Linked DNA regions of Caenorhabditis elegans. The protein of the gene in region 1 purifies or fractionates together with the protein of each later gene. This does not show direct contact. Each region holds a gene or a part of one and is shown on either strand. Other genes may lie near its edges.

Evidence for each region. The genes of interacting proteins can lie anywhere in the genome.
Region 2: the proteins of Y110A7A.15 (region 1) and fkb-7 fractionate together in Caenorhabditis elegans (co-fractionation; one large-scale study listed by BioGRID). This does not show direct contact.

The regions. Positions count from the first base shown.
Region 1 is NC_003279.8:5,111,234-5,116,737, forward strand, and holds the start of Y110A7A.15 (uncharacterized protein), read right to left. Parts: upstream 2,520-5,504; 5' UTR 2,506-2,519; coding exon 2,487-2,505; intron 2,471-2,486; exon of another isoform or gene 2,450-2,470; intron 2,436-2,449; coding exon 2,323-2,435; intron 2,270-2,322; coding exon 2,099-2,269; intron 2,047-2,098; coding exon 1,899-2,046; intron 1,785-1,898; coding exon 1,168-1,784; intron 624-1,167; coding exon 504-623; intron 401-503; coding exon 143-400; 3' UTR 1-142. Other genes in the region: elpc-1 (Elongator complex protein 1), read right to left, coding at 2,966-3,070, 3,326-3,495, 3,545-4,630, 4,780-5,425.
Region 2 is NC_003279.8:10,665,076-10,670,579, forward strand, and holds the start of fkb-7 (peptidylprolyl isomerase), read left to right. Parts: upstream 1-2,732; 5' UTR 2,733-2,883; coding exon 2,884-2,926; intron 2,927-3,560; coding exon 3,561-3,745; intron 3,746-3,981; coding exon 3,982-4,056; intron 4,057-4,102; coding exon 4,103-4,201; intron 4,202-4,792; exon of another isoform or gene 4,793-4,942; intron 4,943-5,182; coding exon 5,183-5,490; intron 5,491-5,504. Other genes in the region: B0511.12 (Pecanex-like protein), read right to left, coding at 674-721, 769-945, 1,265-1,367, 1,414-1,582, 1,735-1,802.

The DNA.
Region 1 (5,504 bases):
GGGGGGAGGTAGTTTATGAATGTTGAAGAATTATTTGAATAAAAAAATTGAACAGAAAGAGAACAATTATAAAAAAAACGTCGGGTAGAAAGTGAAATGAAATGCTGGTTCAAACGAGAACATCCAGAAAAATCGACAAAACTCAAAATTGTGAACGTTTGAATTCACCTCGACGAGCATTTGCTTGATAAAATCCTTGCGTGGGACGTCTTTCAGCTTTCGGTGGCAACCATTTCTGAATTTCGTCGATCGACTCCATCTTCACCCAGTGAAGCTTCTGTTCCGCGTTCACATCGAGGATAATTACTTGGCCTTTACTGTTTACATGGAATGAAGACATATAGGGAAGAGGAAAATCACTGGAGATACGATGCAGGAAACTGTAGTCAGTGTCGAACAGCTGAAACATTTAAAAATATTCTAAATTTAAATTTTTTATTTTAAACCAAAAAAAATCTAAAAATTTTCCATATACTTGAAAAACTTTTTTTGAAAATTCTAACCTTGATCGAATGACCTTTTGCATCTCCAATGAGAAGATAGCCATTTTGGTCGAATTGCATTCCGGAGACGAATCGGAATCCAGTTTCATTGGCGAGCTGATCTATCGGCAGATCAGGTGACTGAAAATTGTGTCATTGAAATAATATATTAATACCAAAAAAAAGTGCATATTGTCTTAAGCTACAGTAATACCACACCATACCATCTCTCTAATATTTTTCAAAAACCAAAAATTCAATTTTTAACTACAGTATCCCGAAATAATTACTTCAAAAGCCAAACACGTTTTTCCTTGAATACGCATATAGTCAAGGGTGTTGGTTTTTCGATATTTCACAAAAATTGAACATTCTTAAATAAAATTATATGTTTTCTCAAGTTCTTTCTCATCGATATAAACAAAAATTGAATTTGTTCTAAACTTTCTATCATTTTTTTTTCGATTTTATCTGAAAAAAATCTTTCGATGATCCGCTGACTATCCCTTCAAAAGTGAATTTTTTTTCAAAACTACAGTAATCCAGTACTTCGACATTGTCCGCCCACAATCGCTTTAAAAGCAACAAAAAGGTGTTCTCTAAAACACAGGCTACAAACTACAATTGTTAGAAACACCACAGTTTTTTTAAATAAGAAAAAATGATTTTTCAATTTCAAACTAACCGATTCGAGAACTCGAAGAGTATTGAATGACATATTATTCCAATTTGTGTCGTCTAAGCAGCAAATGAACACCTTATTACATCCAAGATCCGAAATCGCAACAGTTGAACGATAACTAGCGATGAAGCTCGGGGAAACTGCTCCAGAAAGCTCGAAACCGCGTCCTCCAACGTCTTTTTTGAAAACTCGCAGGCGTTTCGATGTATATGACAATTCGAGAGAAAGAATATTTCCGGCAACCGAAATTGCAAGACCGCGTAATTGATGCTTCATATCGTAAATTCTTTCATCGTATGATGCGAACACATTCATCGAATCGCCTCCATCCTTGAAGTTGTAAATAACAATTTTGTGAAGGTTCTTAGGTTTATCGGAACACAGAATGGCCGCACTTTCTCCTTCTTTGAACACAATCACAGCGGTTGGATTTTGAATGGCACCCTTGCATACGTGTATTTCCTCTTTTTCGACGTTCATAATCAGTAGCTTGTTCATATTTCGATCGCAAATTAGCCAATCATTACGGATCTCGTCGTAGGCAACTCCCAATGGATATCCGAGGGGTTCATTTTTGAGTAGATCCGGCGCAGGAAACGTTTTATTTCTCATCATCAAATCTGCAATGTATTTCGGTCAATAATTTTCGATTGGAAAGTGGAGTCTATCTCCAGCAGTGATTTTAAAAATAGCTTAAAATCTTGCCGGGACATCAACACCCCGCAACAACTCACATCCACCATCTTCCGATATGAACGAGATATAATCAACGTTTGTAGTGTTTGGACTCGCTTTTAGCATCGATCTATTCGCAATTTGTTGGTTCCCGCCATTGCTGGTAGTTGGGCTACTAATTTGGACGCAGGAGAATGAAATCGAAAGCTGAAAATAACATTTATTTAATGAAAATTTCAAAAATATATGAACGACTCACATCCTGTTCCTTGAACGTGACACGAGTGACTTTATTACTGGGAAGGATAGGTTTCTTTTCTCTTTCCTTCGCTTGTCGATCTTTTTCTCGTTTCACCTCTTCGATCTTTTGCTGCTCGATGTTGAATGCAATAGCGTTACCAAGTTTTCTCTCGATTATTTTGCAATCGTACTGAAAAGTAGAAAATGATCCAAAAATAATATTCTGATTAATAAGTTCCGTACAGCTTTTTTTACGACGACGAGCTGCTTTTCATCAAGTCTGACACGACCTCTAGGTTCTTCAATTATTTGGTGAAGGACATTAGTCAATTCAGCAAGCTCCGAAGGATCGAGATCTGAAATAGGTGTTGCTTGTTACCGAAATTTTTTATTAATTAATTACGTACCATCCACCTTTTTGCTCATATTGTGAAGCTGTGCTGAAAATCATTGAATGTTTTCATAAATATTTAACAAATTATGGAAAAAAGGAGAAGGATCAAAGTTCATTTAAATTTAAAAAACACGATTTATTTAGCGGGAAATTTAGGCAAAAATTACAAAAAAAGTAAATAATTGCCAACGCATTTTGTCACTTTGATGTGCAGGTTTCGGGAATACTGTAGTCGAAGAGACATTCGCGCGCGAAGAATTAATTTCAGGAAGCCTAGAAATGCATTATTTAAAATTTTTATTTTACCAAAAAAAATGTCTTTCAATTTCTTTGAATAATTTAAATAAAATTTACAGAACATTTTCTTCCATATTTCCTTTGCTGAGAAAATTTAAACTATGAAGTTGAACAATTTTGTGAATAAAAACTTTAGTTACCAATAACAAGAGAACGGTTAACAACAGAACAATACAAGAAAACAAAATCAACAATTTATGGGAAAACTGAAGCAAATGAAGATGTAGGAGCGACAAGTTCAGGTTCAAGCCGGAATATGGGAGGCATTGGGATAGGCGACGGCTCTTGGTTTGGGTCAAACTGAAAATTTACACAATTAGTATTATCAAAATATTTAAACTGACATGTGAAACGTGGATTTTTTTATTTTGTTTTTTATTTAAGCTCCTCGAGGAGCTCCTCCCATTCCTGACCTTTCGTTGAAATTTTAATTTATTAGTTTATTTTTAAAAAATGGGAGGAGCTTAAATAAAAAACAAAATAAAAAATAAGCCACGTTTCACATGTCAGTTTATATATTTTGATAATATTTTTTAGCGTTTCAAATTTAATTACCAGTGCATGAAGTGGTCCTGGAAGATGCTGAACCGACAGGCTTTCAGGCCAGATTGCAGCTTTGCTTTTCTGAAGCTTCGTGGCAAATTCATCATAAGCGCTTCTCAATTTAAGAGATTCTGGGAAGTTTCCAACTGTTATCAAAACTAGAATCAATTGGGATAGCTCATCTGAAAATATGTCACAATATATTAAAATTCCAGGGAAAGCAAAACTCACTTCCAATATTCTCTAACCATCGATAATTCTCCGAAAGCACGTTGAGCAATGCTGAATCTTCGTATTCACCACCTTCTTTCAGTGAACTTTTTTTCTTTTCAATTTGCTTCCGCCTTCTAACAGTCGACGCCATCGAAACTTTCGATGATCCTGATCTTGAACTTATACTGGAAATAACTGAAATATCATCTCTCAAATCGTCAACTTCTCCAGCTGCAAACTGTTCAACTCTCTTCAACTTGTTCTCTCGAACTACAGCCAATCTCTTTTTGTAGTTCTCGAATTCAGTTTTTCTTCGTTCTAAATCCATCAAAACTTGATCATTTCTGCTCAATGCAGCCTTTTTCAGCGCTTCCTCTTTTCCTACTTCAACTTCTCGACTCGCGTCTAACCATTCAAACGCATCACAGAGAACATGTACAATTTGAGTGCTCGACGAACCGGCCAATTTCAGAGCCTTCGCCAATTCCTTCGGCTGTCGTGCTTCTCGAAGAGTTGTACTCATTTTAATTGCATGAATCTTCAACTTTCCAGCATCAACTGCAAGTCGACGAGCTGATGCGGCAAGACCATCAACATCTCGTGACATTTCCCAGCATTTCAGAGTTTTCTCCGAGTTTCCAGAAAGTTCGTAAAACAACGCAGCTTCTCTCCAATGAACTTTTCGTTCCAATTCAGCAGCGTACAGCTCACAACATTGCTTATATCTTCGATCTCCTGGCTTAACAAGGGTCAGTGCATCTTGATATAGTTTTTCCCTTTGAATTATATCTTCAATATCATTCCACCATGTCTCTTCTGAACCTCTTTCTTTACTTGAATCCAACAGAAACAATGAGGAAACTGCATCAATCCAAGCTTCTCGTACAACATTAATACGGTATTGTCGTTCAAGTGTGCACATAACTCGATTAAGCTTGTTTAGAACTGGTAGATATTCTTTTGGATCGTAATTTGAAGCTTCTGCAACTTGCTGAGCAAGCTTCAAATCGTATGTGGATAGAGCACAGTTGAAGAGCTCTTTAGCCGGCACAAAGAATGAGATGTGATGTAGACTGTTTCGAGTGAAGACATCCTTACGATCAGCTGAAAAAAAAGTTCGTTCTTCAAGATTTGCAAAATTTCAGTCTAAAACAAGGGTGTCGGTTTTCAATTTGGGTTCTTAAACCTTTTATTTGCTAATTTTCTAATTTTTTTTTTTGATTTTTCGATGACGCCCGTGGTCTAAAACCTACCAATTTTCTCAACATGCTCTTGAACTTCTTTCAAACAATCGTTAACTTTCGATGGTTTCGATCGTAACAGAGCAGTAAGCAACAGTGGGAACATCTTTGTCTTTTCTGCATCCGACAAATCTCTGACATATCGTGCAACTGTCATACAGAGAGATGATCCTGCATCCTCGAAAACTTCAGTACAACTGATAAGAAGTTGTTCAAGGAATTGTGAATCATTTGAAGTTTTCAACCAAATTGGTATGTCATCTTCCAAATCGTCTCCCTTATATTTCATCGCAAATGACATGTCAACTCTGTGTTTTTTCATCCACTTGAATGAGGCAATGTATTCTTTTCGATCGAGCAAGTCACGAGTGTGAGCCATAACATAGCGACGTGGTTGAATAGTTTCCAAATTTCCGCGAGCAGCTTGTAGGATAACATTCGCTGATTGAGAATCACATGCAACAAGTTCACAGCCTGCTTCAACGTTACGAACGTCTTCTAAAGTTTTGCCTGATTCAGCATCAATGAATCTCAGTTTATTATCGAAATCGATCAGAAGAATATCGGAGCCTCGAGTTAAAATTGAAATAGCGTCTTGGGAAACACGCTCCGAATCGAGGAAAAGCATCGAGTTGTCCACTTGAATCACGTGATGGTTCTAAAAAAATCTTATTCATAAATATCATCTAACGTGAGTCTCAAGAAATCAAAAAACTTGAATTTTACCAATATTCCGT
Region 2 (5,504 bases), 5.6 Mb from region 1:
GAAATATATATTTAAAAACACAATAAACTGACAGCTGAAAACGAACAAGAAGCTACGCTTTTTAAAAATGGAAGAATATGAACCTCGGCCATGTGTCCATTTGTGTACTCCCCGAGGACAAGTTGGATCTATTATTTGCAGAGATATTGCAGTTTTTCGCTAAAAAGCATCATTTTGGCCAATTTTTTTCTTAATTTGCACAGTGTTTTAGGTGAAAGTCGACTTAAAAAACAATTATTTCACGTTTTCGGTAATTTTGAAATGTTTGTAAATATATCGAATTTCACTAAAAAAAAACCAGAATTTATAGTTTTTAAAGAATAAATAAAACGATTTTCACAAAAAAACAAGCATTTTTGCTATAAACTGTGAAATTATTGCAAAACAATAAATGCAGCTTTCTCCTCGAGGAGTACACGAGCTCCGTAAATCGGCACTTGACCATGATAGAGGTTTTTAAAATCATTCTTTCATATTTCAAAACAGAGGAAATTGAAAATGCGCTTCCATAAACCAACACCATCACCTCTATCACAACTTTTAATAGAATTATTTTTTCTAGAATTAATTCTAAATTTACGAAACCAAAAATAAAAAAAATCACGACAAAACTGTGCTGAAAAGAAGAAAAAACTTAATCATTTCGAAATTTTTTAATTCGTTTAATACTCACCAAAATCCCAAAACTTCGAGGTAATTTGAGGAATTGGAGTTGATTGGCCTGAAAAATCGTTTTTTATCGGAAAATTTCTCCCAATTTCCTCTCACTTTCTCTAGCAGAATCTGCGTGTCTTTCTGCTTCTAAATGTCGTCTTGCACGTGCCATATTTGCAGCAATCTCTTCTCTTACACTAGGCTCACGTCTTCCATCAAGAGCTCTTTCGGAGCCACGTAGATTATATCCCATGTCACGGAGTTCAATCATTTCAACGTCCAGTGGAGGTTCTGAAAATTGGCTAGTTCTGGTTTAGTTTTTAAGGTTTTTATGAAAACCGATGATCGAATTAGTTGAAAAAAAAATCAACCACTTTCAGAATTTTGAATACATGTAGCATGGCAGAAGAAAACTTTTTTTTCGAAAAAAAAACACTTTTTGAACATTTTTCTGTTAATTATTCGGGGTTTCTTGATTTATAATTTTTTTTTGCAATTTGATTTGGAGCGTGTTTTCCGAAATTTTCAGGCATTCAAATCAAGCAGTTGTTTTATGATTTTTTCTATATTTTACACTTTTTTAATAACTAGAATTTAAATAAAAACTTACGTTCTGATTCTCTGTACAATTCATCCACTGAATCATTGATTGTTCTTGTAACCACAACTGGATCTGTTGTATCAAAAATCATATGCAGATAGGCGACAACACTCTGAATATTAAAATATACATAATTTTCAAACGTTTCTGAAATTTACCTTAATAACAGTGAAAAAGAAAACAATAAATCCAGTATATGAAGCAGCAAATACAAGTGAGACACCTTGAGAAGCGACAAATCCAAGGATAAGGGGAAGAATAATAAGTATAAACCATACGTAGAGATGCATTGTGTTGCAGAATATTGAAAAACCCGGTTCATAGTACCTGGAAAATTTTGAATATATTGGAATTTAGCTAAAGAAAATCAATAATTTAATTCTATAAAAAAACGAAGCAATTTAATCAATTTTTAGAGAAACTTTATGAACCTGTTTTCAACGAAAAAACTTTTTTATTGTTTTAAAATGAATACTAACCATCCACCAGTGAGCGATGCCCAAATACCCTGTCGAATAACCTCGATGATGTGTGTGCCAACACTCATCGTGGCGGCTCGAGAGCTTCAGACTCCAAAATCGCTCGATTTTCTCCGGTTTTACTCTGCAAAAATCGATATTTCTAATGTATTTCTGGTTTTGTTCGGCAGAAAACTAAAAATCAATCAAAATTCAAGCGAAAAGGCTTTTCAAAAAGTGAAAATCAATGAAATGTGAGCAAAAGCGAGCAAGCTGAAAAAACAGAAAAACAGACGACAATGTACGCAAACACCGTGTGTGACGCGCATTTGCGGACTCGGAAAAACTTTTTTTGGCAGGCACAGAAAGTGGAATATCATGCTGAAAAGATGAAAATAATGATAATTGCAATTGGAAACATATGTAAAAATGTTTTTAAAAATTTTTATTTGAAAAATTGAGTATGTTTAATGCGCAACTTCGGTTTAACTTAAGGATGTTCAAAAAGTGAATTTTTATTCTATTTACACAGAATGACTTATTATGTATCCTCTGATGAATGTCTTGTTGTTACGGAGGAGATTTGTCTTTTCGATATGTTTCCTGGAAATTTTACTATTTTTTTTTCAAACTTGAATCAAAAGTTGTTGTAAAAGCTTGATTTTGTTTATAAAATTACGCAACAAATTAAGATGCGTCTTGTATACAAGGTTAATAGATGAAATAAGGTATTTACAATTGAAAAGTATACAGAAAGTTTCGGAAAGTTCCAGAAATTTCTAATTAGCTCTAGAAACTATCGAGAAATATTTGTTTGATAGGAAAAGTAACTAATATTCAGTTGAATAAACATAAAGTTCCAAAAAATATTATAAAACTACGAGAAAGTTGCTTTTTAGTTGTTACAATGTTTTGGAAATCTACAAATCAATTTTTCCGAAATCCAAATTCTCACAACCTCTTCTCCATTTTTCTCTACATAATGACCCTCTAATACCGTTCGTCTTCCCGCTCGGGTCACTCGGAATTGAACAAGGTCGTCATGTTCAGTCACTTTCCTTTGTGTCTCGGAATCTCTTGTGTCTGTGGAAAGGAATACATATCCTCCATATTCTTGTATTATAATAAGTGGTTGTCACTGTCTCATACAGTCCACTCGTATTTCACCATATGACACCTTTATTCATATTCTTAGTTCTACTAACTTCACAAGGTAGCTTTTTTTTATCCAAGGAATATGTCTACCAACCGACAGAAATTTAAATTTGCTCCATTTTGAAACGGTATATCTCAATTCATTTTGTAGATATCAATTAAAATTAATTACAAAACTATAGAAAAAGAATTAGAAATTATTTCTTCAGTTGAAATTTTTTTCACTAAACAAAAGACAACTGAGATATGAGCAACCAAAGTTGACCAATGGGATGCAGCACTGATTGAGAATGTACAGTCTACTACTTGAAAATCACTTTAGCCAATCGGACCCAAAAAAACCCAAAATTCATATTGAGGCCGTTCAAAAATTGCTCAATAATTGAATATTTTGTGGACTATCTATATATAGAACCTGTCATTTGATAGGAAACCTTATGAATGAGTCCATATAGAAAATTTCTGGAGAACTTTGAACTTGGAACAGTAGATCTTAAAATTATTCAGGTCATTAATTGTGTTTCCCAAAGTATTTTGATGGGTGGAAAAGTTTCTAATTTTTCACAAGTTTTTAAAAATTTTCTAGAAAATCTGCTTACTAAGTTGCCCTGTGTGTACAATTTGCAAAAAATGCGAATTCACGGGCCTCTACTGAATTTCAGATTAAATTTGTATTTGAAGTTTTTTTCCAGTTCTTGGTGGTCTGAACAATGGAGCATCCTCGAAGAATGTAGGTGGGAGAAGGCAGCCAACTGGTGGAGGAGGACTTGATGAAAATATTCCTGTAATTGAAATTCGAGGAGAAGGAGCTCCGATGAGCTCAGCTCAAATTAGACATTTAGAGGAGATGGATAATGGTGGTCCATTGGATATTAAGGTGAGTTTTATGTGTATAATTACGCTTACTTGGAGTTTCCTACTTATTGTAACTAGGTACTACCCGGGACACAACTTACCCCTTTTTCCAAAAACATCTGTGTTTCCATCACATAACTAAATTAAAAAAAAATAAATGTAAGGTTTTGATACCTGCAAATTTGATTTTAATGATTCAAAATAACTGCATTTCCAGTGCGACTCAACTTCTTTCAAAAACAACAGTCAAGTTTTCAGATCGAAAAAACGTTTGTGCCAGCCAAGTGCCCTCAACAAGCAAAACGACTGGACTTTGTAACTTTCCATTACAAGGTAACAAATGCACACTTCTGAAAACATTTTTGATTTCAATTTCCAGGTGTTCACAGAAGATAACAAAAAAGTATATCAAACATATGGAACTGGTCCAGTCACAATTCAACTTGGAACTGGAATGATTATGCCAGGACTTGATAAGGTGAGCATTTTAAATATTCTACCGTATTTCCTATATTAGTTTTGAATCCCTTTGCTCAACTTTTACAAATCATATCTCAGTAGTCGTTTGTTCTATAGAAAAGTTGTAAACTGATAAAATTTTTGTGAGATATTTTTCTATAGTTTGTAGTTTATTAATTATTTAAAGGTTCAAAACAAAATGAAATATGAGCTGCCAAAGTTGAGCAAAGGGGTGAAAACTAATAGAGGAAATACGGTATTTGAATGCTTAGCACCAGGTTTTATGTGTTCTCCGGTTTGGCTAAAGTTGAGTAAACCGGTTTCCCTGTTTATGTTCGTTCGAAATAGTTATTCTTGACAAGTAACCTACTTTGCTTGTTTTCTTGAGAAAAATGAAATGATTGATGGAACAATTTTTTGTTTTGTAAATTTTCCACCACGGCCGCCAGTTTAAAAAATGAAAATGTACCAATAATATAAACAAACAAGCAAACGCAGCATTTAGGCTCGAGGAAGGCAGCCTACAAACTTACCTATGCCTCAAGTTAGGCAAAGTTGTTCCAAAGCCTGAAAACTTGCCAAGATGCGCGCTGACCTAGCTTGCCTATCTAAGATCCTACCTCTGCCTACGTGCCTGCCTACGTGCCTGCCTACCTACTTGCCTAGCCATGCCCACGCAAAGTCTAAAGCTGTGTTTGCCTCTGCGTTCACCTGCCTATGCGATTGCCTTTTTACATACCTGCCTATACACTTGCCTACCTGTCAATGTTTGCCTGAATATGCCTCACCATACCTGCCTACTTACTTGTGTGCCTACCAGACTATAGCCTGAAACCATGCCAAACGCAGATTTTAATCAATTCTATAAAAAGCAAAATGCTGATTCTCTCGAAAATTTTATTTGAAAAACCTATTTTTTGAATATTTGAAGTGAAATCACAACCATTGAAAGTTCACTTTCAGAAAAAAAAAACAGTCAAATATCTATTTTTATTTCCAGGGTCTGAAAGGAATGTGTGCAGAAGAGCTTCGAAAAGTCCGTGTACCATATCGTATGAGCAGAAAGAGCAAGAGCAAGGTGTGGAAAAATATACCGAATGATGAAAACTGGCTGATTTTTAACATTGAAATGGTCGAGATCAAGCCATACACCCCAGAGATTCAGTTTAAATTTTTGGATTTGAATGAGGATGAACAGTTGACAAATAAAGAGGTTCAAGATTTCCAAAAGAAAATGAAAAAAGAATTTGGAAAGACATGGAAGAATGAGGATATTGACAATGTCACTGCTGCTGGTTATTATATCAAGTAGGTTATGCATA